Sus scrofa: one gene and its partners. The protein of the gene in region 1 purifies or fractionates together with the protein of each later gene. This does not show direct contact. Links are inferred from orthologs where the notes say so. Each region holds a gene or a part of one and is shown on either strand. Other genes may lie near its edges.

Region 1 (4,125 bases):
AAAAAAAAAAAGATCACCTAAGATACAGTGTTAAACCACTTTCACAGTTCAGCTTGAGTTGTGGCTCTTGGAGAATGAGGCAAACCATCTCTTTCATTCATTTCGCTTGTTTGCTTGTGACGCCTTTACTACAAAAACTGGATAGTTTCTGCTTTGTCAGTTACTCAGAGCAATAAAACTGTAACAGTTGTTTTCCCCAATACTGTAAAACACTAAGACTGACCAGCAACTTTATTTTCATTTTGTGTTTTATATCTTTTTTTAAAATATGTTGTCAGTTTCATCGTGTACGTTCATCCATTCACCACAAGCCCTCAAAAAAGAAGTTTCTCCGCAGAACAGGCGGCAACAGCTCTGTTCCAAGGAATGTGTTTTAATTTTTGCCTAGATAAAAGAAAATAAGCTTTGCACACACTCTCGATTCTTTACTTGCAGGCAAACTCCACTCTTTATTTTCTGAAACTCTCCCATGCTCAGCCTCTTAGAGGCACAGATGGTTCAAGTTTCAGTGGCAAAAAGTCTTTTTTTTTTTTTTTTTCCGTAACCAAACTAGAGCAAATTTGGAATTCAGTCTGGGACTAAAACGTCACAGCAGAAAAAAAATAAAAAAAAATAATTTGCTTTTTTTTTCTTTCTTTCATGTAGCAGCATAAATAAGTTTGGCCACTAGGAGTACAGTACAGGGTGGGACAACGATCCCGTATTTGAAGACCTACTTCTAGCACCAGCATCAAGAATTAAATCCATCGTGGGACTCACAGAACCCAGGACAACTTGCCACCTTTGAGCAACATAGGCGTTGAAGAGTGTATGTGGAAGCAGTAAGAGATTAACAGAGGCTAATACTGTGATTGATTGACATTGGCAATGGTTGGCAAAAAAAAAAAAAAAAAAAAAAAAAAGCTTTTCATGATAACTGTACAAAAACAATTCACAGTAATTTTTTTTTCTTTTTTAGCTTTTCCACTCCAGAAAAATGACTTTTTGTTGCAGATGCTCTCTAGTCAGAAAGTCCGCCGGTACTGTGTGGATGGTATTGCAGCTTCTTTCCAGGTCTCAGTGGTAGAAGAACAGGCTAGCAGAATCTGTAAGGACGTCTCGGCGTGAACGCTGCCCAAAGACCACTGGAGAAGAAAATAAAGAAATAATTGCACCGGGGTGGATTGAGAACGTCTCATTTTGCAAAGCTGCCCTCAGTCCAAAGTGAAGCCTTCTGCGTGACGAGATGACAGCTTCTCTTGTCAGTTGTGGTTTCTCGTCTCTTCCTCTTTTCTTTCCGAGTCTGTCTGTAGGTCTTTTCTCTCTGTTGCCCCGAGCCAACATCCTGCACCACTGAGAACAAGGGATTTTTTTTCTTTTCCTTTTCTTTTTGCTTTTTTTTTTTTTTCTTTTTTCTTTTTTTTTTGGCAGGGGGAAGGGCAGGGAGTACGTACGTCGCCTAGGCGTTGGACAATGCCGTCCTTCCTGCGCGTCACTTCATGTCCACATCAAAGTCCAGCACCAGCAGCTTGGTCTCTTCCGTCCCATTGCGACTACCGACTGCACACACCAGCTTTGTGTTCGAGGCTCTGATCCGCCACACGACTCCCCCGCTCCCCCCACTCTCCAATGTGACTAGGTTGCGAATAAATTCACCCGTTTTCAAGTCCCACAGTTTTACAGTTCCGTCATCTGAGCTGGTAATGACAAAGTTCTTGTTGAACTGTAAACAGGTCACAGCACTCTGATGCTTGTTGGGACCTAGGCAAAACCAAAGGAATGCAATTACTGCTGAGAAACCCTGGCTATGGGTTGGTTACTCTGTCGTGTGCAGAAGCTACACTGGGATACACAAGCAATCAAAGAGGTAAAATGATGCACATCTAGAAACGGTGTTCTGAGGATGTGAGGATCAGCAGGGATGTGAGAGAGTCTGGGAGCTATCTGGAATTGAAACATTAATTTCTGAGGGTTCTGTCTTCCAGGAAGCGTGGTTAGCGACTAGACTGGGCATGCATCTGGTTTTCTGGCTGTGGGAATGAGCGATGCTCTCGGGGCTGATGTGGGCAGACCAGCTGCAGACACTGAGCCTGAGACCTGTGTTACACCACAGGTAGCCCACCAGTCACAGGCAAAACCTCAGGGACACTACTCCAAAATTCTGACAAAGAGACACAATCAATGAGCAAAAAAGCTGCAGTACAGTCCACCAGATGGTCCCCTTGACAAAAACCCCATTTTAAGGGCTATGATCAATAAAAAGAAATTAATTGTGATATAAGAAGTTAACCCTGTTGTGCCTCATTTAATATTAGTGGCTTTCCCATGTTTTCTTCTCCAGTTTAGGAGGCACTGTGGTTCCTTCCCAACTTATTTAAGCAGATGGTTAAAGGTCTAAGCTGAGGCAAAGCAATTTTCTAACAGATTAGAGATGATTTCTTTCTTTTTTTTTTTTTTTTTCAGTAAGGCAGCTCTTTAAAATTGGACTACAAATTCAAAATAAAGTAATGATTCAGGAGTTCCTGTTCTGGCACAGTGGAAACGAATCCGACTAGGAACCATGAGGTTGTGGGTTCGATCCCTGGCCTCACTCAGTGTGTTAGGAATCCGGCGTTGCCGTGAGTGGTGGTATAGACGAGGCTCAGATCCCGAGTTGCTGTGGCTGTGGTGTCGGTCACCAGCTCTAGCTCCGATTAGACCCCTGGCCTAGGAACCCATTGCCACGTGTGCGGCCCCAAAAAGCAAAAAATAAAATAAAATAAAATAATGATTCAAAAAATGAAGAGTACGTTGCTTGTGATGTGGCCAAGATCTCATTCCACATTAAGACTAAGCAGAGTTAATGTACATTTGAGAAGTGACTAAACAATTTTATATTAAAAACACAACTTAAAACACTTTCTCGGGGTAGCCTCATTGTGCCAAGTCAGAATGGAAATGCTCATAAACTTATCGCAAGGAAGTTTCCATATTGTAGGAGGTTAATTCTTTCTGTGACAGAAGAAGCGCTCCATTTCTCTTCTGACTGACAGGCTCCCTTCAGTGAGAACAAGTCAAGGTGGGGAGGCAATATTTACCTTGCAATGTTTGTAAACATTGTCCTGTTTTGATATCCCAGATTTTAACTGTGGAATCTGCATTCCCAGAGACAAGAATGTTGTCCTTGAGTTCCATTCCGCTTGTTAATGACTGATGTCCTGTTAAGGTGTGAATGCAATTCCCAGTCTCCACATCCCAGACTCGGATCGATGTATCAAGAGATCCACTCACCACATGGATGCCATCAAACTGCAACAGACACAGGTTACTAGACCACAAGGGTAGGTACTCTTGAGATTATTTATTGACCTTAATCCTAAAAGGGGAGGGGAGGGGAGGAAGTGTGAGAAACAGCGTATGCCAGGAACAAAATGAGGTACTAGGATAAAGCACAGGCAATCAAGCAAGTCTACCCAGCAAGTTCTTAGAAGCTTCTATCAGAAATGCTCATTTTGGGATTCCTGTTAGGGCTCAGTGGCAATGAACCCAACTAGGATCCATGAGCCCTGGCCTCAATCAGTGGGTTAAGGATCCGGCATTGCCATGAGCTGTGGTTGTAGGTTGCAGATGCGGCTCGGATCTGGCATTGCTGTGGCTGTGGTATAGGCCGGCAGCTATAGCTCCAATTAGAACCCTAACCTGGGAACTTCAATTCGACCCCTAACCTGGGAGCTATCATATGCTGCACTTTCAGCCCTAAAAAGCCAAAAAAAAAAAAAAAAAACCCCAAAAAACAAACAAACAAACCAGAAATGCTTTTTTTTTTTTTCCAGCCAGTGGCTTCAAACTAGATGCAAAAACAATATTAAAAAAAAAAAAAACAAACACCTAAAATGAACATATATTCCCATCATCTGGCCACACTGCGATGATTGCTCTTTGAGTTTTATTTCCCAATAGGAAGCTGAAGCTACTGATGTGGCTTATGATACAGGGTGTGCTTATCAACAGCCCCTAAGGCAGAAAAGGGCTAGAGATAACTTTCATGATATTTAAAAGTAAGTTCCATTAAAAGCTGTATGTCAAATAAAAATTCCATTTATAAGAACCCAACGCCAGATAATAATGTTTAGAATTAGAAGTGGCATTCTGATAACAAAACCAAAG
Region 2 (3,992 bases), on another chromosome or scaffold:
GAAAAATGTATGCTATTATTATGCACCACAAGTTCTTATAATACATGCTTTATTTTGAGCAGGTGATGATTTTATCTCCTTTGGAATGAACAATTCCAAACAATGTACTTTAGGCAAAATATTTTTGATATTCTAGGTTGCTGCTATATCTAATTTTCAAGAAAATTCTCAATTTGCAATGAGTAAAATTTATAATTATCAACAGCTCTGAATCCTAAATTTTTTTAATTTGTACCTATCCACTTTCTACATACAATAGAATGTAGACATTCTACAGTCCTTTAAAAAAAAAAAAAAATCAACCCAAACAACGCTGCAGTTCTGCATTTCAAAGTTGCTACCTAAAGAGTAATTGTTTTTTTTTTAAAAAAAAAGTATATTCAAAAATCAATTCCTGGTTTAAAAAGGTTAGAAAATCTAAAGCATAAACCTTCAGTCAGTCATAAAGCACAGCAAAGCATACAAATTGCCTCTCCAAAAGAATCTTAAGCATCTTATCTCTATAACATTATCATTCTTACTTAAGCTTTAAAAAAAAAAAAAAAGATAAAAAAATGATATCTCCAAAAGACAGGCTACACATGTACTTTGACTTGTCTACAAAACGTACTGTATATAAATTAGCCACATACATACAAGCCGTTGCTAGTCAGCATGATATATGGTAATTTGGAATCTCTCCTCACTAATACTGGTCTACTCGGTTATTTTAATTCCCTGTTAAAGTGTCAAAGTGGTCACCAGCCGCCAAACAAAAACCATTTAAATACCCCTTAATCAATACGTTTGCTAATCTATGGAAGTCCCTGCATCTGACTAATACTAAATGACAGACTGAGAGGAGCAAAGCAGCAGCAAAATGAGTTTTAGTTCCACATAGCAAAAGATCAAGGGAAAATTTTCACAGTATAAAGAAGACTCGCAACTTATCATTGATTTTTAAGATTAAATATCTAAATAAAAATGTTGAAAAAACTGACTTGACCTTATTACAGTGAAAGCAAAGATACTATGTCATTGGGTCTTTGCAGGTAAAAATCACGTTTTGATTTTTTTTATCTGCATAATGAAATTTATTTAAAAAAATAAAGCTTCCATTTGAAAAGTTGGCAAGAATCTGTATTTCTCCACTAGTCTCAAAGAAAAAAAAAAAGCATCTATGCTACCCATAATTAAATGCAACTAATTACAATTTGAACACTAAATTATTTATCCAGTGTAAACAAGGATTAAGAGAAAATAATGCTCCTATCTACAGCAGGGGTTACAGAAAACAATTTCAAAAATGCAAGCTCTCCAAAGGCAGTCCCCCCCAAAAAGGATACAAAACTTAAAATAAGTTGGGGTTTTCTTTTTTTAAGGCTAAATTAAACAAACCGTTCAGCCAATTTTCCAATTATATTCTACGCCTGAAACATAATTGCCTTACATCTGTTTACAAATCTTTGCTCAATATTTAAACAAATTCGTAGTCTCCCGGGCACATAGCTATATATACAGTAACCCATGCACAAAGCACATATTTAAAGACCACGCACTGCAATTATTAGCCTAAACGCCAGGTTTAACAACGTGAATGTTTTCAGAGCTAGGTAATACGACCCAATAAAAAGCAAAGATGGCATTTACCACCAAATGTCACTGCCACCGCCAGGAAAGAGTTGCTGGAGCCCTATACATTTTTAATTTCGCTGAATCTAGACGCCGTCGTCGGGTGCCAGGCTTCCAGGAGAACAATTGACACCCTAACTGCTTCAAGATTAAGGCAGGCGATTCAAATCCGAAGGAAAAGTTGTCAATTATCAGAGAGAGAGCGCGAGGGAGATGAAGGCAGATAAAAGCGATGTTATCAAACCGCCCAGCTTGTTGCTGCTGCTGCTGTGTGTGTGTGTATGTGTGTGTGTGTTAGGAGAGAGAAAACAGTTTTTTAAAAAACACAGGAGGAGAGAAAAAAGAAAAAGCTTTCTCCACCTTCCGTCGGCTCGGTGCAATGGCTTTACGGCTCTCCAGCGTAGTAAGCCCCAAGAGGCAGGCGGCTGTCGATGTTTACAATCGCGGGAGCTTCGGGTGCAAGAGTCCTTTACTGACACAATCGCATTCAATCAACTGTTTTCGGGCGAAATTGCAGGTGTCATTATGGAATTTTTTAAAAATTCAAAAGGCGGGCGGGCGGGCAGCCCATCCGACAAGGGGGGAAAAAGGCTGCTTATCGCAGGCGCGGGCAGCACAAGGCAAAGCTTTCCACATTTAGGAAAAAAAGGGGGGGAAGGGGAGGGGAAGGGGAGTGCGATGGCAACAGAGGGTGGGCGTTCGAAGTGCGACCCAGAATCCGCAGCTTTGAGACTTCTACATGCAAATTCCACGCCGAGCGCCGCGCTCACAAATGATTTTTAAAGAGCCAAATAAACACTGGATGGGATCCAAGGCGAGGGAGAGACGATCCAAAAGGGGGAGAATCAGCGAGAGGCGAACGGCGGGGAGAGGCGAGGGAGGGGCGAAGTCCCGGCGGCGGGAGGAGAAAGTTGGTCTGCGGCGGAGGTCGGCGGCGGAGGTCGGGGACCCCCCCCCACCCCGGCATAGCCCCCTCCCTGCAGCCCGGCTACTCACCAGCGAGAAGAGGTTGGAGTGACAATCCTCCAGGCTCGCCCCGTTCGCCACCCAGTTCGCTGCCGCAGTCATGATCCTCCGCGAGCCCGGCCGCCAGAGCGGGGCATGTCGGAGCGAGGCGTCCGAGGCGAGGCCGGGCCGGGCGGCAGCGCCTCGCCGGAGAGCGCGGGGCAGCCGGGCCGCCGCCGCCGCCGGGGGAGGGCGGGAGGGCCGCCGGGCGGGTGGGAGGCGCCGCGGCGACGCCGCGCCGGGGGCGGCGGGCCCGGGCCGGCGGGGGGGTCCGCGGCGGCCGCGCGGCTCCTTCCTGCTCCCGCGGCGGCGGCGGCGGCTCCGGCGGCGGCGGGGGGCGCTGTCCGCGCGGCCGGGCGCCCTCCCCGCCTCTCAGGGCCGCCGCTGCCTCCCGGGCCGGCGCTGCGGGCCGGCCGCCGCCTCCGCCTTCCCTGTTCCTCAGCCGCCGCCGCCGCCGCCGCCTTGTTTATCTCCAGCCACCGACTCCCCCTCGGCCCCCGCCGGCGCGTGAGAGGAGGCGAGCCCCGGAGCCGCCGCCGCCGCCTCGGAGCCGCCGCAGCCGCGGAGCGCGAACTCGCGAAGGGGGGGTGCGGACGAAGCCAGCGGGCGACCCCGGCAGCCGAGCGACGTCCCCTCCTTCCTCTTCCTCCCCCACCCCCCCCTCCTCCTCCCCAGTCAGCCTCGCTTCTCCTCCCTCCCCGGGCTCTCTCACTCTGACAGCAATGGCGGCCGCCGACCGCGGCTCGGCCCGCCATTGGCTAGCGCCCTATCACGTGACGGGCGCCGGCCGCGCGGGGAGGGGGGACGGGGGAGGGGCCCTGAGCGGCGGCGGCGGCGGCGGGGCTCGCGGGCGGCGCTGCTGAGCCGAGTGCGATCGGATTCTCCGGCCGGGAGAAGAAGGAAGACGGGGAGGGAGAGAAAGAAGTGCGGGCGGCGCGGCTGCCGGGCTGGCAGCGGCCGGGCGAGCGGCCTCAGGCTGCTGTGCGCTGCCCCGCTTGGGCGCCGCGCCCCGCCCCCTCGGGTGCTAGGATCTTTACGCGGCGCTACCTCACCCCCGGAATGCCTGTGGCAGTGGCCGCGGAGAGCTGGGGCCCCTAACCTGTGCCTCTGACGGCCTGGGCGACTGGGTGGTGGGGCTCGCTGTTGGCCAGACAGCATGTCCACGTGTCTCAAGGTTTCACTCTGTCGTCCGTGTTTTGCAAATGAGAAAACTGAAGCACAAAGAGATTAAGTCACTTGCCCACAGCTGGGAAGAGGAGGAGATGGGATTCAAACCCCTGCACCCATGCACAGGGAAGCTAAGCTCTTGCACTAAGGTTTATTACCCTCGCCCAGGAGCGCTTACTGAATACCAGGCACTAAGAAATGCAGAAATG
Region 3 (3,972 bases), on another chromosome or scaffold:
GCCCGAGCTGGACCCCACGCCCGACTGGAGACTCGACACTCGGCGCGGTCAGAGCGCGGTCGGTGGGGCAGGCGGGCAAAGGGCCTGTGCACTTCAGGGTCTTCCTCGCGTTTCCTGTCACCTCCGAGGCTCAGGTTTCGCGTCTGTAAAAAGGCCACCTTCACCTTCGTGCAGGGCAATGGGAGGCGCGACAGGCTCCGTGTGGAAAAGGTTTGGCTGCGGCAGGCAGAGGCCTGCTCGGCGGCCACGCACGCTCATCAGGTGCAGGGACCCCGGGAACCTCCAGGCTCTGCAGTGGCCCTCGAAGCCAGCACGGGGGCAACTGCGGGCTCCTGCACGGAGGACCAGCTCAGCAGGCTGGTGGGGCCCGCCTGGCTCCGGGCAGGGGAGAGGGCGGCCCTGCCTGTCCTGGGGTCTCTGGAAATGGTCCTTTGCCAGCTTGGAGTGGCCAGGGGTTTCACAGGGAGCTGGGGACCTGACCACGGAGACCGTGCTCCACCTGGACACTAGCCCCTCTCAAGCGATCCCTGAGTGTGGCACTCACTTGGGCCACCTGGGCTGGTGGCCTTGGCAAGGTCCGGTTCCTGGGAGAAAGAGGCCCTCAGTCTTGGCCAGAAGGGTCTGACTCCCATTATGTCCCAGGGGGCGTGGTGGTAGCACTCCCAAGGCCACACTCCCGGTCACCAAGTCCCCTCCCGCGGGAGCCCTTGCCTATTCAGCCGTGGCGCCGCACGGGGCGCATCTGACGGGACAAGGCTTTGGAAGGGCGGGCAAACCAACACGTGCCTCTGGAGCAGCGACCCGCTGGCCGGCCCCAGCTCCCAGGGCTGGCACCCGCCCGTGGTCATGCATCACGCAGACCACAGAGTCGACCACTGCACCTCCTCCTCCCCCTCATTCCCTGGGCCACAGGCAGAGGTTTTCTCCTGGTGGAACAATGAGCAAAGTTCCAGCACAAAGGGGAAGGGCCAAGGGCACAGGCGTCAGACCTGTCCGGGGCCTCCGACAGCAGGACTCCAGGCTGCGAGTCGGCAAAGGGCTCCAAGCGGACTTTGAGACAGAGGCCCGGGGGTCCTGTGGGCACCCTGCCGGCCCCAGGCAGGGGCTGGTCTCCTTTCTCAGGGCCAGCCCCACTGCGTCCTGCACCAAGCACACCCTACTCGCTCTGTGTACAGACTAAGGAGGATCAAAAGCTCTTGCTCCATGGCCGCTTGTCCCCAGGGAGACCATGCCTGGGGGCGCAGCCACCTTGAGTAGAGACCATCACGGGCTGGACCATGTCCGCTTTCCTGCTCCAGGCTTTGCCTGGAATACAGGCCGTGAGGCCTGGGGAGCAAGCTGACGCTGGCTGTGCTTCGCCTGGCCTGGAGCAGACTGAGAGGCGGGATGTCCCCACAGTAGGTTCATCCCAAAGGACCTCTGGTGCCCTCCCCCAAACGGGAGTTACGGGGAAGGGACAAGAAGAGGGAGAAGGGAAAAAGACAGAAAAATGGGGTCATTTCATTTGGCCGGCAAAGTTCAAGGCCTGGAACAAGGGGTGGTTCCCACCGTTAAAGAAACAGGGCCTGGGATGGAGAACGCCACATGGATATTTGCTGGGACAACACACAGTGTCCCCAAGGGAATGCAGCACGGTTTCTGGTCTCCTCAAAGGGACAAGTGGAACGAGAGAACGTGGCCTCCAGCTCTGGGCTCCTTTCAGCCCAGACTGCTCTTCCTTTCCAAGGGCTCAGCAGGATGACAGGCAACAACTCAGTGGGGTCCAAGAAATCCAGCGTTTGGGCGCTCAGGAGAGTAAGCACGTTTGGAGGCGCCCGGAGCCTGCCTACGACTACGGTGGCCTAGGCCACCCCCCTGCCAGCCGCGAGCCGTGGCTCCGACCTGCCCCACCTCGACGTCACAGCCAGGACGTCCATCTCCAAGTCCAACCTCCGCAAACTGGAGTTGTCCAGCCTGCGGAGTCAGACCATGTAAATCACCTGCCCGCTGCCAGGCAACGGGAGACAGGGCGTGAATAAAGTCGCGCACAGAGCAAGAAACACGAGTCGCTCTTGGGAAAGCAGCTCTGGGATCTGGACCCGGGCTCGAGACCAGCCTGAACTTTATGACGTTGTGCTTTCTGTTTTCGCTCCCTCTCCTTTCGAACTAGAGAAACGCCCTCCAGTTCCAGGGCCGAGACTTGATTTACCCTGAATAACTGCCCACCACACCACTGGAACTCTGGGGCCACCGGGGCCCAGCGTCCACTAGCGAAGCCGGGGGCTGTTCTAAGCACAGACGCGTCCCGCAGTCGTCCCACAGGCAGCAAGCGCAAGCCCACGGAGGCAGAAGCCCTTCCTACCCAACGCGGGAGAGCGGCGTGGACAGGAGCGACCTCCAGCGGGCCTGCGACGCTTCTCCCCGCACTACCCCCTGCTCCCCACCCCCACACCGGGCCTGCGAGGCGGGGTCCGGGCCTGCCCGTCCTGGGCCCCCGCGCCGCGGCCTCCCCGCCCCGGGCCGGCGCCCTCGGCCCCTCACCGGGCTCCAGCAGATAAGCGCGTCCGTGTCCGGGTCGCTCACGAGAGTCCAGAGCTTGGTCAGGAAGGCCGGGACGTTGCTGGGCCCCGCCGCGCCCGGGCCCACGGGCAGATCCATACCGGGCAAGGTGGGAGAGGCGGAGGCGGGACCGCGAGGAGGGGCTGAGGGCCGGGCTAGCGCCGCTGCCGCGCCTGCCGCCCGGGCCGCGCGCCGCCGCCCGCTGCGCACACACGGCCCCGGGGCCTGGCATGGCCGCCGCCATCTTGCGACGGGCGCGCTCCCGCCGGCGCCGCCCGCGTCCCACGGCGCGCGCACGCACACCGGCCCCCGTCCCGCCCGGCGCCCTCTGACCCCGCGGGCCCGCCCCCAGGCCCACGCGGTCGCGTCGCTGCCGGAAGTGGCGGCGCAGGGCAGACCGGCGGGCGGCATGGCGGGACCTCAGGGCGCGCGGCGCGTGGCGGTGGCCGGGACGCGGCCCGGGAAGCGGATGCTGGAGCCGGGGCGGGAGCCGGAGGAGGTGACGCGGGAGCGGGAGCGGGAGCGGGGGGGGGCGGCGGGGCTGGGCCGCGGCACCGGCCGGGGAGCGATCCCGCCCAGCGCCCGGCGGGCCTGGGAATGCGAGGAGGGAGGGGTCTCCTGTCCTCCGCCCCGGCGGCCTTGCGGGGGCGTCCTGGGCAGGGAGCTGGCTGGCGGTTGTGTGGGTCGGAAGAAGGTCTGGGCCGGAGAGAATAAGGAAGGAGAGCCGGCGTCCTGCGCAGCGGTCTTCCTGGGCCTTTGAATTGTCATCTGGGCGCAGAAGATTTGAGCCTGCAGTAGCTGCTTGTATAGCCAAATGTTCCTGACACGTTAGACGTTGTAGAAGAGGAAACGAGGATGAGAAAGCAGCGCCTGCTGCACTGGACGGCCCGTTTTAGCTGGACTCATGCTCTTCCTGTCCAGCGGAACCCCAGCCGCGCTGTGGGGGTGTCATCAAATCTCATCAAATCTCGGTGGTAGAAAGCCATAGCAGGCTTGTGCAGTCGAGCCTCGCAGCTGGGACTCCACGTTGCTGGTTTATCAGGCTGCCCCTTCACTTGTGACAAGTGCTCGTGGTGCTCCCTGGCCGGCAGGCAGCTCTGGGCACCATGCTCACCCACTTGTAGTGCTTTTGCCTCTGTATTCATCAGCGGCTGTTTGTGTTTGTGCCCAAAACATTTGTGCCATTTTTACTTGCCGTTGTAATTGTGTAGCTAGTTAGGCACGATAGAGTGTGTGCTGAGTGCTGTTTGGTAGCTGCTCCGTGCAGGCTGTCCAGTTTGGCGAGAGACTCAGGAACTATTGAAAAACAATGAAATCTAGAATTTTGCCTTCCAATGAATGCTTGCTAAGAGTCTGCAGGTTCTTGTTCCACCGTGCACCCTGTCTGGTGGAGTTAGGGCCGGGGTGGTGTCTGGTGGGCAGAAGTCTGCTCAG
Region 4 (3,981 bases), on another chromosome or scaffold:
AGAAGGAGGAGCTAGCTCAGGGGGCGTGGCCAAATGAAAGATAGGGGCCGGGGAAGGGGGTGTGGTCTGTGGAGAGGGTGGGAGCAAGCCCTGCACTGGAGCGGCAGTGATTCCGGGAGGCATTGCGGTGGGACAGGGAAGAGAGGATATGGCCAAAGGAGGAGTAAGGCCCTTCACAGGAGCCGCGCTCTTTCTTGGGGGTGTGGCCTGCGGAGGGCGTAGAGCCTGCAGTCCTTTGGACTTGGGTTGCGAAGGATGCCCCAGAGCCCGAGGTGTTCCAGTCTGCGAGACCCCGGAGCGAGCTGGGGAGGACAGAGGGGTGGCGGTAGAGCCCACGGGGCGCGCAGTTGGCCTTTGGAGGCCTCCACCGGCGCTGGATCTCCTCCTGGCGGCAGGGCTCGACTCTGGGGCGCTGCGCTCTGGAGCACTGCGCTCTGGGGCGGTGCTCACTGATTTCCTCGAAGCCTCAGTCGGGAGTCTTGGCCGGGTACTCGGAGCTGCCCTGGGGACACCCACCTCAATGCCCACAGCCCGGGACCGACGGGAGATGGCCGGAGAGGGGATGGCTGGGGTGGACCCAGAAGAGTCTGGGGACAAAGAAAAAGGCCAAAGGGTCACCGATCATTCTAGGCTGGTCCCCCTCATAGCCCAGGAATTTCGTTCCTCCCCATGTCACATACCTTTCCGTGCCCCGGCACTCAGGGCACTCCTTCTGGGCGCTTCTGGGGCTTTTCCTCTGGCCACAGATTCCTCAGCTGGGGGCCGGAGCCCCTTCTGCCCTGGGGAGCCTAGCCTGGGGACAGGAAGGGGTGCGCTCAGGGCAGGGTCCCAGCTCCTTGCTTCATCTCCCTAGCCTACATTTCCCCATCTATGACTGTGGCATATGCCCTCTGCCAACCAATAATAGCTTTCACCAATATGAGCCTAGTAACGAACAACTGCTCCCACACACTAATTAAAACATTCCAGATGAAGACACTAACCTTTGCCTAAGGGACCAGGGGAGAGGGGGCATGTTACCTGGTAGGTCCACTGGCACGCCCCGGGCTAGAGACACAGCTTGAGCCTGGGGTCTTGGCAAGGGCTCGCTCCCCTTTCCCAGCTCCTGGGGGTCTGGAGGCTGTAGGGAGAAGGCTAAGTCAACACAGGTGCCCCGGAAAGAAAGGGTAGGCTGGGGCCTCAGAGGATCGGGGGCAAGAAGATGGGATCAGAATGGGGCAAAGAGGCTGGAGTACCTGGGCTTCGGGGGCCTGTCCCAGCGCTCCGCGTTTGTCCCACCCTAGGGGAAGCGTCCGCGAGAGCAGTTGCCCGGATGCCACCAGCTCGCTCTGCAAGAGGCCCTCGCCCTGCAGCTCCCGCTGCTCCCAGAACACGGAGAGCCGCGCTGGTTACTGGGGGAGGGGGTCGTGGAGATCCAGGGGGCCTGGGGATCGGAAGGCCAGGAGAGCGAGAAGCCGGCGTACGACCGGCCACCCCTGCCCTGGACTTGTCCCTCTTGTCCATACCGCACCTGATGAGGAAAGAGATCAGCATCCCAGGTCCTGGACAGCTACACTGCCTGCAGGAACCTGGGTCTTGGCATCTCTCAGCTCCTTCCCCAGCGTCGCCACCCATGGGTGCCCAAACCTCCGCCTATATCCACTTCCCACCCACCCGACACTTATCAGCGCAGCTGCTCACCGTTGTCCCTAAGTCCCACCCTCACCGCTTTCCTCCAGGCCCTGCCTGCTTCAGCCCACCCTCTCCCCCGCCTCTGCTCCCTCTCGGGACCGAGACGGGAGATTCACCCCACCACCACCACTCGCCCCCTCAGGGACCCTGACCACCAGGGTCGAGACAGGTGGCTGCCATAGGTTCTAGATGAGGAGGACGGGAACGAATCTCGGGTTCCCTCGCCAACCCCCAGCGCCGTCCTGGGCTTCCTGGAGGGATGCAGGCACCTGCCAGGAGGAGGAGCGGCCCCGGCTGCCCGCGAACGGGCTCCAGGAAACAAAGAGCCGCGTCCGGAGCCCGTCCCCTCCCCCAGGCTGGGCCCTGGTCTGCGGCGCCTTCCACCTGCTGGCGCCGAGCTCACCTCTGGCTCCGGCCTCCAGCCGCTCCACGCTCGGTCTCCTGGGGTGGGGCCGGGTAGGAGCGCCGCGGCGGCTCTGAACGGAGGACAGACGAGGGGAGGGGGCGGAGGGCGGCGGCGCGGGGAGGCGGGCCAGCCCCTCGGCCGCGGGCGGGGGAGAAGGGGGCGCGCGCGCAGGATGCAGACCCGGGAGGCGGAGGCGGCAGCGCGCTGAGTAGTGGCGGGGCGTGGGGGGGGGTGGGCAGTGGGCGTAGGAAGGAGGGGCAGCTTCCCCGCGGCTGCGCCTGAGGACCCCAGACACCCAACCCGATGGGCTTCGTGTGGGGAAATTCCTTGGGGTCCCGGACCCAGCCTAAACCCACCTCCCCGTCCACTCTCACACACACACCTGCCCCAGCCCCCACCCCAACCACCTGGCGACCAAGGCCCGCCTGGACGCGGATAGGCTGGGCCCTGGCAACCAGGGGCGGGAACATCGCGCCTCGTGCCCAATCGTCCAATCCAGCAGCTCGGTGTCCCCGGCCAGGTCCTTGCCTTAGCGACTGTAGAGGCGGGCACCCCAAGGTTCCTGGGACTTCTGTTCCCCTCCTACCCAAAGGCTTTTCGCAGACCCTAGGAAACCCCCTACCTGGTTGGGCTGGGGTGGCGGAGGACAAGGCAGCTCTGGGCATGTAGGAGTAGACCCCAGATTTGGGGGAAAAGAGGAAGAAAAGAAAGACAAGGGGGAGAGATCGAGGATGATGAGAGGTGGTCCAACCTTCTGCAGGGCAGAGCACCCCCATTCTCCCAGGTCGCATGAAGTCAAGTCAGCAAAGCATCTTGGCAGAGCCCGGCTTGGGGGAGAGGAGATTATGGGGTCCTGGGGTGTAAAAACAGGTGCCTTAAAGGAGCGGACAAGATCTCATTCGAAGTTTCCCAGCCCAGCCAGAGGGAGTGGAAGATGTCATTTTAGTGATACACCAACTGGTGCAGGGGCCTCATGGAGGACCTGGATAGGGGACTGTAGCATGGAGGGGGTAGAAATGTGAAGAGGAAGGGAGATGGCCTTCCTCAGGCCCCCTGAGCCTGCTGACAGTTCCAGGCAACCTCCTGTGCCTGTGCTTATACTCACACTGTGCTTTCTGCCCCCAAGCCAACTCTTCCCAGACTTTTAGCCACCCACAAACCCTTCCAGAAGAGCCAGCTCCCTTTGTCCCAACCCTTACCCCATCTGTCTCTTTCTCAAACACATACACACACAGAGCAGCAGCAGCTCATGCCATCTGGATCATCCCAGGGAGCTTCTGTGTACAGGAGAGGGAAGGATGGCACTTGGTACCTGGGTGAACCTGTTGTGATTACCTAGGATGTGGCCAGAAGCAGGGGTTTGGGTTTTCTTGACTCAGGAATTGTTCCTACAGCTGAATTTGGTTTTGGGAAGGAAGACAGACATAAAGGGCAAGGTCAGAACTGAATATCCTGCTTGGCCAGTGGAAGCCAGTGTTTAGAACACATTCTCCCCATGAACCCTCCTTCCAGTCTGAGAGAGGCACCTCCACAGCCCCAAAGGGCACTGCCCTCTGGATTGGATCATTCTAGATCACCTGTCTTCTATGTGCAAGGGTCCTTCCAAGGCTACACTGAACCCATCCTGCATTTCACTGGGATCTGGACTCTCCTCTCTTGGACCACTCTACAAACTTGGTCCATCAACAGGAAATGGGTTAGGAGTTCCCTGGTGGCCTAGTAGATTAAGGATCTGGTATTACTGCTGTGGCTCAGGTCACTGCTGTGGCTTGGACTTGATCCTTGGCCCAGGAATTTCTGCATGCTGAGGGCGCAGCCAAAAAAAAAAAGAAAGAGGAGTTCCCATCGTGGCGCAGTGGTTAACGAATCCGACTAGGAACCATGAGGTTGCGGGTTCGGTCCCT
Region 5 (3,937 bases), on another chromosome or scaffold:
GGGGAAAATCTGGTATGTAATGAATTAAAAGTTGGGAACATAATGCATCAAGTTAAACTTGAGGTTGCAGCAGGATGTTCAACTGGGAGATATTGCATAATCACCTAGAAACTCTGAGTTTGGAGGCCTGGAGTGGGCCCCGGGTCTGTGTCAATTTCCGGGCCTTTCATACCTCACAGTAGTTGGGTCTTTAGCAAAGAAGGACACACCAATAACATTATCTAATTAGTGGTCCTTTCAATGGGCATTTTATTTTACCCCATTTTAAAAAAACTTCATTATAAAATGCCATGATTTGTAACTAGAGGAAAGAGTCTATCTGTGGGCACTAGGGTGTACCAAGGGAAGAGGCTTCCTTTGAAAACACCTTAAAAAACAAACAAACAAACAAAAAAAAAAACAACAAAAAGGATGGAAATAACAAGTCCTCAAAGAAAGCTCCCTTCTTGCTTCTCCCCCCCACCCCAACCCAGGGCTCAAAAAGGAAGAAACTAATTGAACGACCTGTAGGACTGGGAGGAACTAAACTGAAGTTCAGAAGCCATTATCTAGCTGGGCTCCCCTCCAGGGTCTTCTCTGGAATGTTCTGAAGCAGCAAATAGCATCTTTTTTTTTTTTTAACTTTCAAAATTAGATACTGAAGTCACTTCTGTGGCTTTGTTGTCTATGTAACAATGGAGTTTTATTCATTAGCCAGGAAAAAGGTATCTAGTTTCTGTTATCGTACAAAAAGACCAATTTGTTTCAACATATTTTTTAGTTTGAAGATTTGGTAACTTTTGAGTTTTGGCAAATCATATACCTCTGTAACATGTTCATCACCCAGAAAAAATCCCCTTTAAATAAAAAAAAAGAAAAAGAAGAAGTCCCCTTTAGCCATTTCCAGCCCCTCCCCCAACTCACCACTGATTTTTTTTTTTTTTCCTTTTAGGGCCACACGTGCATATAAGTTCCCAGGCTAGGAGCTAGATCCGAGCTACAGCTGCCAGCCTACATCACAGCCATAGTAAGGCCGAATCTGAGCTGCATCTGCGACCTACACTGCAGCTCACTCCAAGGTGGAATCCTTAACCCAATGAGCAAGGTCAGGGATGGAACCTGCGTCCTCATGGATGCTAGCTTGGGTTCGTTACCACTGAGCCACAATGGGAACTCCCCCACCCCTGATTTTTGCTTTGAAGTTGTGAGGATTTTATCTTTTGTTTCATTTTAGCTATATTAAGGCAATCAACTTATTTCATGATGTGAAAAAAATTCAACTTCTCTTTAAATTGGATAGAAAAACTTTTCCCCAAACTCATTACAATTCAGGGATCACAGACTGGTGCGTCAGACTAGCTTTTTATCTGCCTGGACTGAACCCCGGACCAGGGGCAGCGTGAGTGGACCCGCCGGCCGCCACCTAGGTGCGCCGAGGGCAGGTCAACAAGTGGCCCGTACGGCCCATGGGGAAGACCTCCCTGCAGAGGAAGCACAGAAAGAGAATTTTTCTTAAAATACATCCTTTTTATGTTAGATAAGGGGCCGATTGTTGGTGGCCAGCCGGGGGAGCCGGGATCGGCTCGTGCCCGACTTGGGCGAGGTCGCTTGGAAGGCTTCCCAGTGACCACACGGCTCGGCTGCAGCTTCCCCATGAACAAGAGCCTTCTGAAGGCGGATCATGCCTGCTCATCCCGGAGCAGCGACGGGCTGGACACCCAGACGTCAGGCCACCAGCAGGAGGCAGGGGCTGCGCTTCCCGGGCAGGTCTCCTTTCCGGGCCCCTCCCAGCATTTTCGGAACGGCCTGGCTTTAATGAGCACGCGGGTTGGGCCTGGAGCACTCCCCAAACCATCCACTCTCACCGCCTGCTGTCCTGGGGACCGCGTGCTCCACCCCCGACTTCCCGGGACAGTTACGCGGCTCCGAAACACGTAATCACAGGCTGAGCTGCATCCTTCCCCTTCGGAGAATCCCGGCGCCGCGCCCTCATCTCGGGCGGCGAGTCTGGCCCCGGGGAGCCGCTCGCGCGCGCCGACAAACCCCTTCCCGGCCCCCGCCGAAACCCTGGGCACGCCGTCTGGGGGACAGGAGCGCCCGCGGGCCTGGGGGACCCACGAGCCGCTTCCCCGGGCGCTTGCTCGGCAGCCCTCCCTCGAGTCCTCACCCGGCCGCTGAAGGTCGCCGCCCGAGGAATAAGCAGAGGGAGCTGCAGACGCCGAGAGCGAGCGTTAAGCCAAAAGGTCCGGGCGCTCCGAGTCCCCCCAGCTAGTCTCTGCGCCGCGGGCCTGGACTTCCTGCCCTGCTCAGGAGACCCCGCCCACTTCCCGCCCCTCGGGCCCGCCCACTCCGTGCCGCCTCGCCATTGGCCCGGCGCGCCGTCACTCGGGCCCTCCCCTCCCAGGGAGAGGCGAGACTGCGGTGGCCGCCACCGCCCAGAAGAGGGGGCGACATCCTTCAGAGGTCGGGCGGGGCTGGGCTGGGGGCCTGACTTCCCGGCGCCCGGGATGGGGGGCGCGCGAGCCCCCGCCTCCTTTCGCTCCCGCCCCACGTGGGGACCCCAGGCTGAGCCTGGTCTGTGCCGCCTGGGCCCCGGGGCAGGGGCGGGGCGGCGCGGCCGGCATGAGGGCTCGGGGCTCGGTCACGTACTCCGAGTCCCGCACGCACGCAGCGTCGCTCCGGCGCCGCACGTCCGGCCCACGACCTTGGTGACGACCTTCGCAGCCCGCCCTTCCGGGCCGGCCCACCCCACTCCCCGCAGCGCTGTGCCCGCGACCCTGTCGGCCTGGAGACGTTGGCGGCCGCGTGGCCAGACTGCGCTCCCGCGCCGCAGAGCCGCTAGCCGGGCCACGTGCGCCCACTCGCGCCTGCGCGCCCGGCCGCCCGCCAAGGTGACCTGGTTCCTTTGTCCTTGTCGTTGGTCACACCTGAGTATCAGACCGAGAGCCAAAAGGAAATTGACTTTCCCTTAATTACACACTTCCCACGTGCGTGCCCTGGGTTAGTTCGCTGTGTGGATCTTAATGTTGCATGTGATGCTTTGAGATTGGAATTTCACATAAACCTGGAGATTTCTCAAAGTTCAAAACAGGTAACATTACACTGTAGTCTGACAAATGAAAACAGGCAAGAGTGGGCGCAGTTATTTTCTCTTCTTGAGAAAGAACTCACACCCATTTCAGATCAGTTCTGCACGCTTTCCCTGCTCAAGGGAGGGCTTCCTTTTCTAATGGAGTTACTTTTCGTATTTTCCCAGTTTGTGAGTTTGTAAGCTAAAACAATGTCATACATTGCCATATTTTCCACATCGTCTTGCATAGATTCATGTATGTATTTGAGTTTAATCGTTTCTTCTGGCCAGCTGTAAAAACTTGCTGTACTTCCTTAACTCTTAGAGTGTGGTAAAGGTGAAGTCCTATTGAGTCCACAATCATTTGTTTTCTATTGACTAGGAAGAAAGAACTGTAGGATTAAATTCAGCAAAAAAGCGACAAGGAAATTATAAAATGTTTCCTAAAAAATTATATGAACTCGGCAAGGAGAGTTTGTGATTTCACCGGCAATACACTGATGTTTCAGACTTCTTAAAACCGTGGTCCCAGCCCCATGACTCAGCAGCTAAATCAACAGCCACCATCTCCTAAACCTTAAAAACTCTGCAGAAATCAGACACTAATTTTTAGAGCAAGTCTAAGGTGTAGCCCACAAAGGGCTCCAAAGCAATCTCTTTCATTTTATGTTAAAAATGGTTAGAGAGATAAAGGTGGAAAGACAAGGCTCTCTGGCCACAACCAGTGATTCCTAGCAGGGAATTGAATGTAGAACATGATCTCAGACAGCTGCTGTTGCAGGATTCTTGGAGCCCGACTGCACAGTGTTGAGGGCACAGCGTTCTGAGCCAGCACTTCGACCTTAAATCGGAGCTGAAATGTGAATGATTAGTACAGATGCCCTCAGA
Region 6 (3,500 bases), on another chromosome or scaffold:
GATCTCGCGTTGCTGTGGCTCTGGCGTAGGCCAGTGTCAACAGCTCCGATTCGACCCCTAGCCTGGGAACCTCCATATGCCGCGGGAGTGGCCCAAAGAAATAGCAAAAAGACAAAAAAAAAATAAATAAATAAATAATTAAAAATTTTTTAAAAAATTTAAAAAAATTCAAAATAGAAAAGAGATAAGCAATGAGATCGTGCTGTATAGTACTGGGAACTATAATCACTTATGATCGAGCATGATAATGTGAGAAAAAGGAATGCATATGTGTATGTGTGACTGGGTCATCGTGCTATATAGTAGAAAATTGACAGAATACTGCAGACCAGCTATAATGGAAAAAATAAAAATCATTAAAAGAACGAAATAGAAAAGAATATAAAATGAACTGCAAAGTTTATGTACAGGTTATGAGCATAAATTTGTACATATATTTTATGATTAATGTTGCCTTTAAACTAAGTAAACATTTATGGGATAATTCACAGTATTCTGATAATACTGAGGTAGAAGAATGATTTTATTAGTTTCCCATTGCACTTTAACAGATTACCACAAACCTATTGACCTGAAACAACAAACATTATTCTCTTATAGTTCTGGGGCCAGAAATCCAAAATCAGTTGTATTGGATTGAAACCAAAGTTCTGGTCATTAGGCCAAAATCAAGGTACTGGCAGGGCTTTGCTCTCCCTGAAGGCTCCACGGGAAAGTCTGCTTCCTTCTCTTCTCCAGCTTCTAGAACTATACTCCCTGCATTCCTTGGCCCATGGCCCCTTCCTCCATCTTCGAATTCAGCAGCATAGTCTTTCCCTCTGACCTTTTTTTTTTTTTTTTGCCACACCCACAGCATGTGCCAAGTTCCTGGGGCCAGGGACTGAAGCAGCACAGCAGTTGCAAACCGTACCACAGCTGTAGTAATATCGGATCCTTATCTCACTGTGCCACACAAGAACTTCCCTGGCTTTACTTCTTTACTTTCCTCTAAAACATCCTGTTTGTCTTATGGTTGTTTTGCCACACCCATGGCATGTGGGACTGAACACACGCAACAGCTATAAGCCAAGCCATAGTAGTGACACCACCAGACACTTAATCCACTGAGCCACCAGGGAACTCTTGTTCTCTTTTGTGTATAGTCAAACATCCCTCTGTCTCCCTCTTATAAGGATATATATGATTGTACTTTGGGTCCACCTGCTAAAGCCAGGATAAACTCTCCATCTCAGGATCCTTAACTTAATCTGATCTGCAAAGTCTTTCCCCTCTCCCCCAACATAAGGTAACATTCACAGGTTTCAGGAATATTCACAGGACACAGATGTTTTGGGAGGCATTATCTATATATATAATCAGCCATAATCATCCATATTTATTTTATATTTGCAAACCTTTACAGAACAATTCACGTACCATTGTTGGGATTAAAAGCTAAGTCCAAATTTTCAGTGGTATAAGTAGCTGAAGCTACTTGCACAGAAGCTGAAGTAGGAAACACAAGTATATGAGTACATGATGTATCCTGTGGAGTATTTAGCTGAGATGTCTGCATGTTTAGAGTGGTGCTTCTTCCAAATACAGAACCAGTTGATACAGAATCTGAAAAGAAAATAAAAGGCATGTTTTCTTTTAATAAATGAAAAATAGATTTTACATGAAACTTAGAAACTTAAGTGCATAAAGAATTAAATCTGATATAAATTAAAGATAGCTAACCTGGCATAATAACAAAAGAACCTTGGGGTTCCATTGCTACCAAGCAAGCACTGAGAATGCTGGGAGAGTCTGCAGCAGATATACCACACATTCTACACATGTCTTTGAGTCTTTTACTTAGAGACTGCAAGTTCCGACGACTCAACAAACAGCTCCAATCTGTGGGTATCAACAGTAAAAAAATAAGAATATCCGAAGTACAAACACTGTTAACATTCTATAGAACAAAAGTTAAAACAAATGGTTCTAAAATTAATATATTCCTCAAACAAGAGTCATCATCAAGTCAAAACTCTCTGCTTTTATTAAGTAATAAAAGCACAATTTTACCTTTTAATTCTCCATGACCAATCCTTCCTAGACGGCCAATCACAACTCTCCACGGTAATGAACTCATTTGTACAAGTCCTAAGCACCACTCCCAAAGTTTCTGTAGACCAAATCTTCTGGCAGATCCTTTTTTCCGACGAGCCCTGTTGTATGGAACAAAAATAGTCATCAATATTTTTAAAATTCATACGATGACATTTCAAAAAGAGCTCAAATACAGAAAAACTGGTCCCTTCATTTTATTTTTTATTTTTTGCCTTTTTGCTATTTCTTGGGCCGTTCCCACGGCATATGGAGGTTCCCAGGCTAGGGGTCTAATCAGAGCTGTAGCCACCGGCCTACGCCAAAGCCACAGCAATTCAGAATCTGAGCCACGTCTACAACCTACACCACAGTTCACGGCAATGCCAGATCCTTAACCCACGGAGCAAGGGCAGGGATCGAACCCGCAATCTCATGGTTCCTAGTCGGATTCGTTAACCACTGCGCCACGACGGGAACTCCCCTGGTCCCTTCATTTTAATGCTTGATTTTTTTTTACACAAGTCCTAAGCAAGAATATACACAAAATCACAGGTTTGGCATATTAGTTTGTATCTTTTTTTTTGTAATACACATTAAAACATACCCTTATAATAAAAACTGTCCACAAACCACCAAAATACACCATAAACACTGCTCTTCACCAGAAATTAGCAAACTTTTTCTTTAAAAGGCCAATATTTTAACTTGCAGGCCAGCAAGATTCTCCTGCAACAATTCAACTTTGCTGCTACTGCAGCATGAAAGCAGCCATAGGCAGTCAAATGAGTGTGTCTAGAATTGGCCCACAGGCTGGAGTTTGCCAACCCTTGCTTCATACTTTAAAAATTTAAGAATATCAAACAAAAAACCCCAACACTTCTCAGAACAAACAACACTGTAGTGTTTTTTCCATGTATGTCTTTTATTAGGCAAGTACATAAAATAAGCGCTCTGTGGCTGAGCAACAGTGGCTACCATTTATTGAGTACTTAAAATATACCAAGCATTATGCCCAGTTAACATGTAATGCCTCATTGCACACTAACAATGAGGCAGATAAAATTATCCTCCTAATTTTACAGAGAAGCTAGAGCTCAGGTGGATAAAGCAGTTTTCTCAAGATCACACAGCCAGTAAGTGTGAGGATTGGAAATTTGAATCCAGATCTCTGACTCCAGAGCTGCGTCTCTCTCTTTTTTTTTTTTTTTTTTTTTTTGCTATTTCTTGGGCCGCTCTAGCGGCATATGGAGGTTCCCAGGCCAGGGGTCCAATCGGAGCTGTAGCCACCGGCCTACTCCAGAGCCACAGCAACGCGGGATCCGAGCCGTGCCTACAACCTACACCACAGCTCACGGCAACGCCGGATCCTTAACCCACTTAGCAAGGGCAGGGACCAAACCCGCAACCTCATGGTTCCTAGTCGGATT
Region 7 (3,964 bases), on another chromosome or scaffold:
AAGGGGCTGTAGGCGATCTGCTGCGGCGAGTGCTGCTGCTGCTCGCTGTAGTGGCTGGGACTCAGCTGCTCCGTCTTGATGTGCGTTCGCTGGGACTGGCCCGGCTCGCTGCTCAGCGTGGTCAGCGTGTGCGCCTGCGGCTGCTGCGGGGGCGCCTGCGGCTGCTGCGGAGGCGCCTGCGGCTGCTGCGGGGGCGCCTGCGGGGCCGGCGGGGCGGGCGGCGGCTGCTGCGGGGGCGGCGGCGGCGGCGGCGCCTGCTGCTTGGACATCCACACGTGGCCCGCGCCCGCCGGGGTCGCCGCGGTGCTGCTGATGCCGTAGCTACCCGTGTAGGTGACTTGGCCGTGCGTGGCCGGCACCCCCGGGTGGCCATTGGGCGGCAGGTACTGGTCGAACTCGTTGACGTCGAAGGTCTCGATGTTGGAGATGACGTCGCTGCTCAGCTCGCCGATGTCCACGTCGCGGAAGTCGATGGGGGGCTGTCTGCCCCCCTCTGGCAGGGGGCGCCCCTCTCGCTTCAGGTCAGCCTTGCCAGGCTGCACGTCGGTTTTGGGGGTGGTGGGTGGCGTTGGTGGACCCTGGGATTGCCCTGCAGGCAAAGAGAAAGAAGCACAGGGAAATCAACCAGGGCTGTGCCAAGGCTTTAGTTTTAGGAACCCTCCAGGGACCCTCCCGCCTCGCTCCAGAGTCCCGCATTCGCGAGGGAGGCGAGCTGCACCCGAGATAAACCGCCCAATGATTAACCCGCCAGTACACATTAGGCCTTCGCCTTTTATCAGGGGAGCGTCTGAGGCCCCGAGGGTCCGGAAGACCAAATTGCTACTAGTAGAAGAGCCCTGTGTGTGCTTTTGGGGTGGGGGAGCCAAGTGAAAAAGGGAGAGGTCCTGGAAAGCTGTGAAGGCATTTTACCTCGCAATAAAATTAATCTGTTAGGATGCTGGGATTAAGGTGGGGTGCGCGCGCGCGCGCGTGTGTTCATGGTATTTCTGGGGCCTTGGGCCGGGAGGGGAGGAGGACTAGGCATAGCGGTTAGAGTTTCCTTTCCCGAGAAGCTCAAAGTCCCTAAGCAGAGCCCACCAGGTGGTGGCCTGGGGGTGTGCCGGTCGGGGCCAGGCCGGGGTGGCGGCGGTGGCTTGGCCTGGGGGCCGGGAGGAGACTCACCCGAGTGCTCGCCGGGAGAGTGCACCTCGCTCATGCCCGAGGAGGAGTGCGGCGAGTCGGCCTGCAGCGCCTTGAAGATGGCGTTGGGAGAGATGTGCGTCTGCTCCGTGGCCTCCTCGGCCTCCGCCTGGCCGTTCTTCACCGACTTTCTCCGCCGCGGCTGGTACTTGTAATCCGGGTGGTCCTTCTTGTGCTGCACGCGCAGCCGCTCCGCCTCCTCCACGAAGGGCCGCTTCTCGCTCTCATTCAGCAGTCTGGGGGCGGGGTGAGGGGGGGCGCAGAGAAAAAGAGAGAGGGGCTCTGTGAAACCCGCCGAGCTGTCACATCCGCGGGAGGGGGAGTGGCCCCCACCACTTGGCCTCTTCCAACACTGCCCCCGTCGTCCCTCCTCCCCACGTTCCACCCGCTACTGCAGCTCAAAACTTTTCTTAAAAAAAAAAAAGGAAAAAAAAAAATCTCGGTTCTTCTAGTCGGACCTGAGCCGGTCCCTCCCCGCCCCGCCCTCTCCCCTTCTCTTCTATTTTGGAAGCCCTGAAGATGAAAATAGCTCTTCGCTGCTCCCGCTCTACAGGCCTTTGCTACTGGAGTTATACCCGCCCCCCGCCCCGTTCCGTCCCCAACATCCTTTAAAAACTTTCTAAAAAACCACTTAATCTGCAAGGAGCTCCTCCTGGCCCCGCCATGGCAGCCCCCCCCCACCTATTTCTAGCAGCCTCTCTTCTCCCCCGCCCCTTCCTGCCAGGGGGCCCTCTAGCTTCGGTTTCTCCCCCCACCCTGCATCCCATCTCTTTGGACGTAGGGCTTCACGAGAGAGGGCAGTTTCAGGCAAACAGAGGCAAACTTCAATTCCCACCCCAACCCCCCACTTGGGATTGAACTTCGCAGCGGCGGGAGATCCGGCTGGCAGCCCCCCGCCCCCCCCCGCGTCTCCTACAAGTGTTCTCCTCTTCTCCGGCTTCCCCCCCACCCCCGCCACGGCTCCTCCCCGTTCCACCTACCCCTCCCCCATTCCCCAAGAGCAATCCAAGAACTTTGTCAAACTGTGAGCCAAGTTATACCTCGTCCCTATTCCAACCGCCCCCCCCCGCCCCGCCCCGCCAGCTCTCGGACCGTCAACTCCCTCCTGCTGGGAGGCGGGGCGCGAAGAGACAGTCGCAGCCAGCGCCCCCCGCCACCGCGGAGCCCACCCTGCCGCGCCCTCCTACCTCCAGAGTTTGCCCAGAGTCTTGCTGAGCTCCGCGTTGTGCAGGTGCGGGTACTGATCCGCCAGCTTCCTGCGCGCCGCCTGCGCCCACACCATGAAGGCGTTCATGGGCCGCTTGACGTGCGGCTTATTCTTGCTCGAACCGTTGACGCGCACCGGCATGGGTACCAGCGTCCAGTCGTAGCCCTTGAGCACCTGGCTGACGGCTTCGCGGATGCACACGGGGAACTTGTCCTCTTCGCTCTCCTTCTTCAGGTCCGGCTCGCCCTTGGGGAACGTGTTCTCCTGGGGCCGCGTGTTCTCTGTGTCCGAGCCGGAGCCTGAAGGGCAGGGCGAGCCCGCCGAGTCCTCGGACATGGTGGGGCTGGGGGCGCCGGACAGGCCCTTCTCCTGCTCGTCGGTCATCTTCATGAAGGGGTCCAGGAGATTCATACGCAGGCCCGGGGCAGGGGACGGGTGGCCGGGAAAGGCGAGAAGCCGCGGCCGCTCGGGGACTCGAGGCGCGGGCTCCTCTCCCCTCGGCTGCCCGGACGCGGGGCGAGCGGCTCCCGGGAAGCCTGGCGCGTCACTCGGCTGCAGCGGCGAGCTTTTAGGAAGGCGCGCGGTGGCCAGCCCGCAGCTGCCCGCTCCAAGTGGGGAAAGGCGAATTGGAGAGGAGGAGGAGAAGAAAGAGAGCAAAAAGCAGGGGGCGGTTGCACCCTTTCTCTTGTCCTCCTGCAAAGAAAAGTTCCTGGGGGTAAAACTGGCAAGTCGCGGCGCCACTTAAGTTTCCAGTCAGTTTCAAGCTCCGCTCTCGGCTCTCCAACTCCCAGCCCAGGGGCTCTTTAATAAATACACCCCCTCACCTTAGGGACCTCTAGCCAATCACAGCACGGCATTTCGGGGGTTGTCAGGCAGCTGATTGGCGCAGTCTGGTGGGGGGGGGGAGGATTGTGGCTCTGGGCTGGGTGACTAGAGGGGAGGGGAGGAGCGGGGAGGGGAGCACTGCCGCTGGTCCGGCGGGTTTTGGGGGGGGGGGTGCTGCGGGGACCCGGGACCTACAAGTGTGTAAGTTTGCTGTACTCTCATAATGTCAGAATTCGGTACCGTCTCCGCGCGAATCTCTGCGCGCGCGCGTGTGCGTGTGTGTGTGTGTGTGTGTGTGTGTGTAGACTAGGATCTATCCCCACCCCCAAGCGTTTCTGTTCACTGCTTTCTCCGCGGTCTTGGGGACTAAGCCAGGGGAGTTTGCAGTATTCAAAAAACTGTAGCTCCTTAAAGCGTAGCCCAGTTTCCGCGCCTGGAGCTTGCCTCCTCCGAAAGTGCTTAGAAATTGTCTTTTGAAACAAATGTTTTGGTGACTCAACACCCGCTGTTCCTCTGTAATAATCCATATAAACAGATTAACATGCTCTGCTTCACAGGGACTGGTGCGGCCGGTTGGGATTCGGCTGCGCTCTTGCAAAGGGAATCAATGAAAACCAAAGCTAGGTCCCGGCTCAGGCTGGAGGTCGCGGCAACGCGGTAGTTGCGAGCTCGCGGGGCCGTCCCGCGCCTCGCCGACCTTGAACTCCGACAAGTCTTTCTCCAGCCCCCACCCCACCCCCCGCGACTCCCACC

What was found.
Region 2: the proteins of FBXW7 (region 1) and MED13L purify together in Homo sapiens (affinity purification with mass spectrometry; 4 studies listed by BioGRID, with this or other methods). This does not show direct contact. The link is inferred for Sus scrofa from reciprocal best matches to the Homo sapiens genes FBXW7 and MED13L.
Region 3: the proteins of FBXW7 (region 1) and HSF1 purify together in Homo sapiens (affinity purification with western blotting; 4 studies listed by BioGRID, with this or other methods). This does not show direct contact. The link is inferred for Sus scrofa from reciprocal best matches to the Homo sapiens genes FBXW7 and HSF1.
Region 4: the proteins of FBXW7 (region 1) and PRR36 purify together in Homo sapiens (affinity purification with mass spectrometry; 3 studies listed by BioGRID and IntAct, counting the BioPlex papers as one, with this or other methods). This does not show direct contact. The link is inferred for Sus scrofa from reciprocal best matches to the Homo sapiens genes FBXW7 and PRR36.
Region 5: the proteins of FBXW7 (region 1) and ENO1 purify together in Homo sapiens (affinity purification with western blotting; 3 studies listed by BioGRID, with this or other methods). This does not show direct contact. The link is inferred for Sus scrofa from reciprocal best matches to the Homo sapiens genes FBXW7 and ENO1.
Region 6: the proteins of FBXW7 (region 1) and MED13 purify together in Homo sapiens (affinity purification with mass spectrometry; 5 studies listed by BioGRID and IntAct, with this or other methods). This does not show direct contact. The link is inferred for Sus scrofa from reciprocal best matches to the Homo sapiens genes FBXW7 and MED13.
Region 7: the proteins of FBXW7 (region 1) and SOX9 purify together in Homo sapiens (affinity purification with western blotting; 4 studies listed by BioGRID and IntAct, with this or other methods). This does not show direct contact. The link is inferred for Sus scrofa from reciprocal best matches to the Homo sapiens genes FBXW7 and SOX9.

Annotation. Positions count from the first base shown.
Region 1 is NC_010450.4:76,695,027-76,699,151, reverse strand, and holds the end of FBXW7 (F-box/WD repeat-containing protein 7), read right to left. Parts: intron 3,268-4,125; coding exon 3,057-3,267; intron 1,741-3,056; coding exon 1,472-1,740; 3' UTR 501-1,471; downstream 1-500. UniProt on the Homo sapiens protein: Substrate recognition component of a SCF (SKP1-CUL1-F-box protein) E3 ubiquitin-protein ligase complex which mediates the ubiquitination and subsequent proteasomal degradation of target proteins.
Region 2 is NC_010456.5:36,062,837-36,066,828, reverse strand, and holds the start of MED13L (mediator of RNA polymerase II transcription subunit 13-like), read right to left. Parts: upstream 2,801-3,992; 5' UTR 2,680-2,800; coding exon 2,608-2,679; intron 2,529-2,607; exon of another isoform or gene 1,972-2,528; intron 1,927-1,971; exon of another isoform or gene 1,630-1,926; intron 1-1,629. UniProt on the Homo sapiens protein: Component of the Mediator complex, a coactivator involved in the regulated transcription of nearly all RNA polymerase II-dependent genes.
Region 3 is NC_010446.5:483,666-487,637, forward strand, and holds the start of HSF1 (heat shock factor protein 1), read right to left. Parts: upstream 2,801-3,972; 5' UTR 2,783-2,800; coding exon of another isoform or gene 2,638-2,782; coding exon 2,521-2,637; intron 1-2,520. Other genes in the region: ribosome biogenesis protein BOP1, read left to right, coding at 2,948-3,037. UniProt on the Homo sapiens protein: Functions as a stress-inducible and DNA-binding transcription factor that plays a central role in the transcriptional activation of the heat shock response (HSR), leading to the expression of a large class of molecular chaperones, heat shock proteins (HSPs), that protect cells from cellular insult damage.
Region 4 is NC_010444.4:71,322,595-71,326,575, reverse strand, and holds the start of PRR36 (proline-rich protein 36), read right to left. Parts: upstream 2,801-3,981; 5' UTR 2,743-2,800; coding exon 2,075-2,742; intron 1,511-2,074; coding exon 1,236-1,510; intron 1,121-1,235; coding exon 1,021-1,120; intron 794-1,020; coding exon 681-793; intron 588-680; coding exon 1-587.
Region 5 is NC_010448.4:69,398,865-69,402,801, forward strand, and holds the start of ENO1 (alpha-enolase), read right to left. Parts: upstream 2,801-3,937; 5' UTR 2,629-2,800; intron 2,305-2,628; exon of another isoform or gene 2,147-2,304; intron 1-2,146. UniProt on the Homo sapiens protein: Glycolytic enzyme the catalyzes the conversion of 2-phosphoglycerate to phosphoenolpyruvate. In addition to glycolysis, involved in various processes such as growth control, hypoxia tolerance and allergic responses.
Region 6 is NC_010454.4:36,417,241-36,420,740, reverse strand, and holds part of MED13 (mediator of RNA polymerase II transcription subunit 13), read right to left. Parts: intron 2,193-3,500; coding exon 2,050-2,192; intron 1,879-2,049; coding exon 1,720-1,878; intron 1,603-1,719; coding exon 1,417-1,602; intron 1-1,416. UniProt on the Homo sapiens protein: Component of the Mediator complex, a coactivator involved in the regulated transcription of nearly all RNA polymerase II-dependent genes.
Region 7 is NC_010454.4:8,644,516-8,648,479, forward strand, and holds the start of SOX9 (transcription factor SOX-9), read right to left. Parts: upstream 2,801-3,964; 5' UTR 2,798-2,800; coding exon 2,367-2,797; intron 1,416-2,366; coding exon 1,162-1,415; intron 590-1,161; coding exon 1-589. UniProt on the Homo sapiens protein: Transcription factor that plays a key role in chondrocytes differentiation and skeletal development.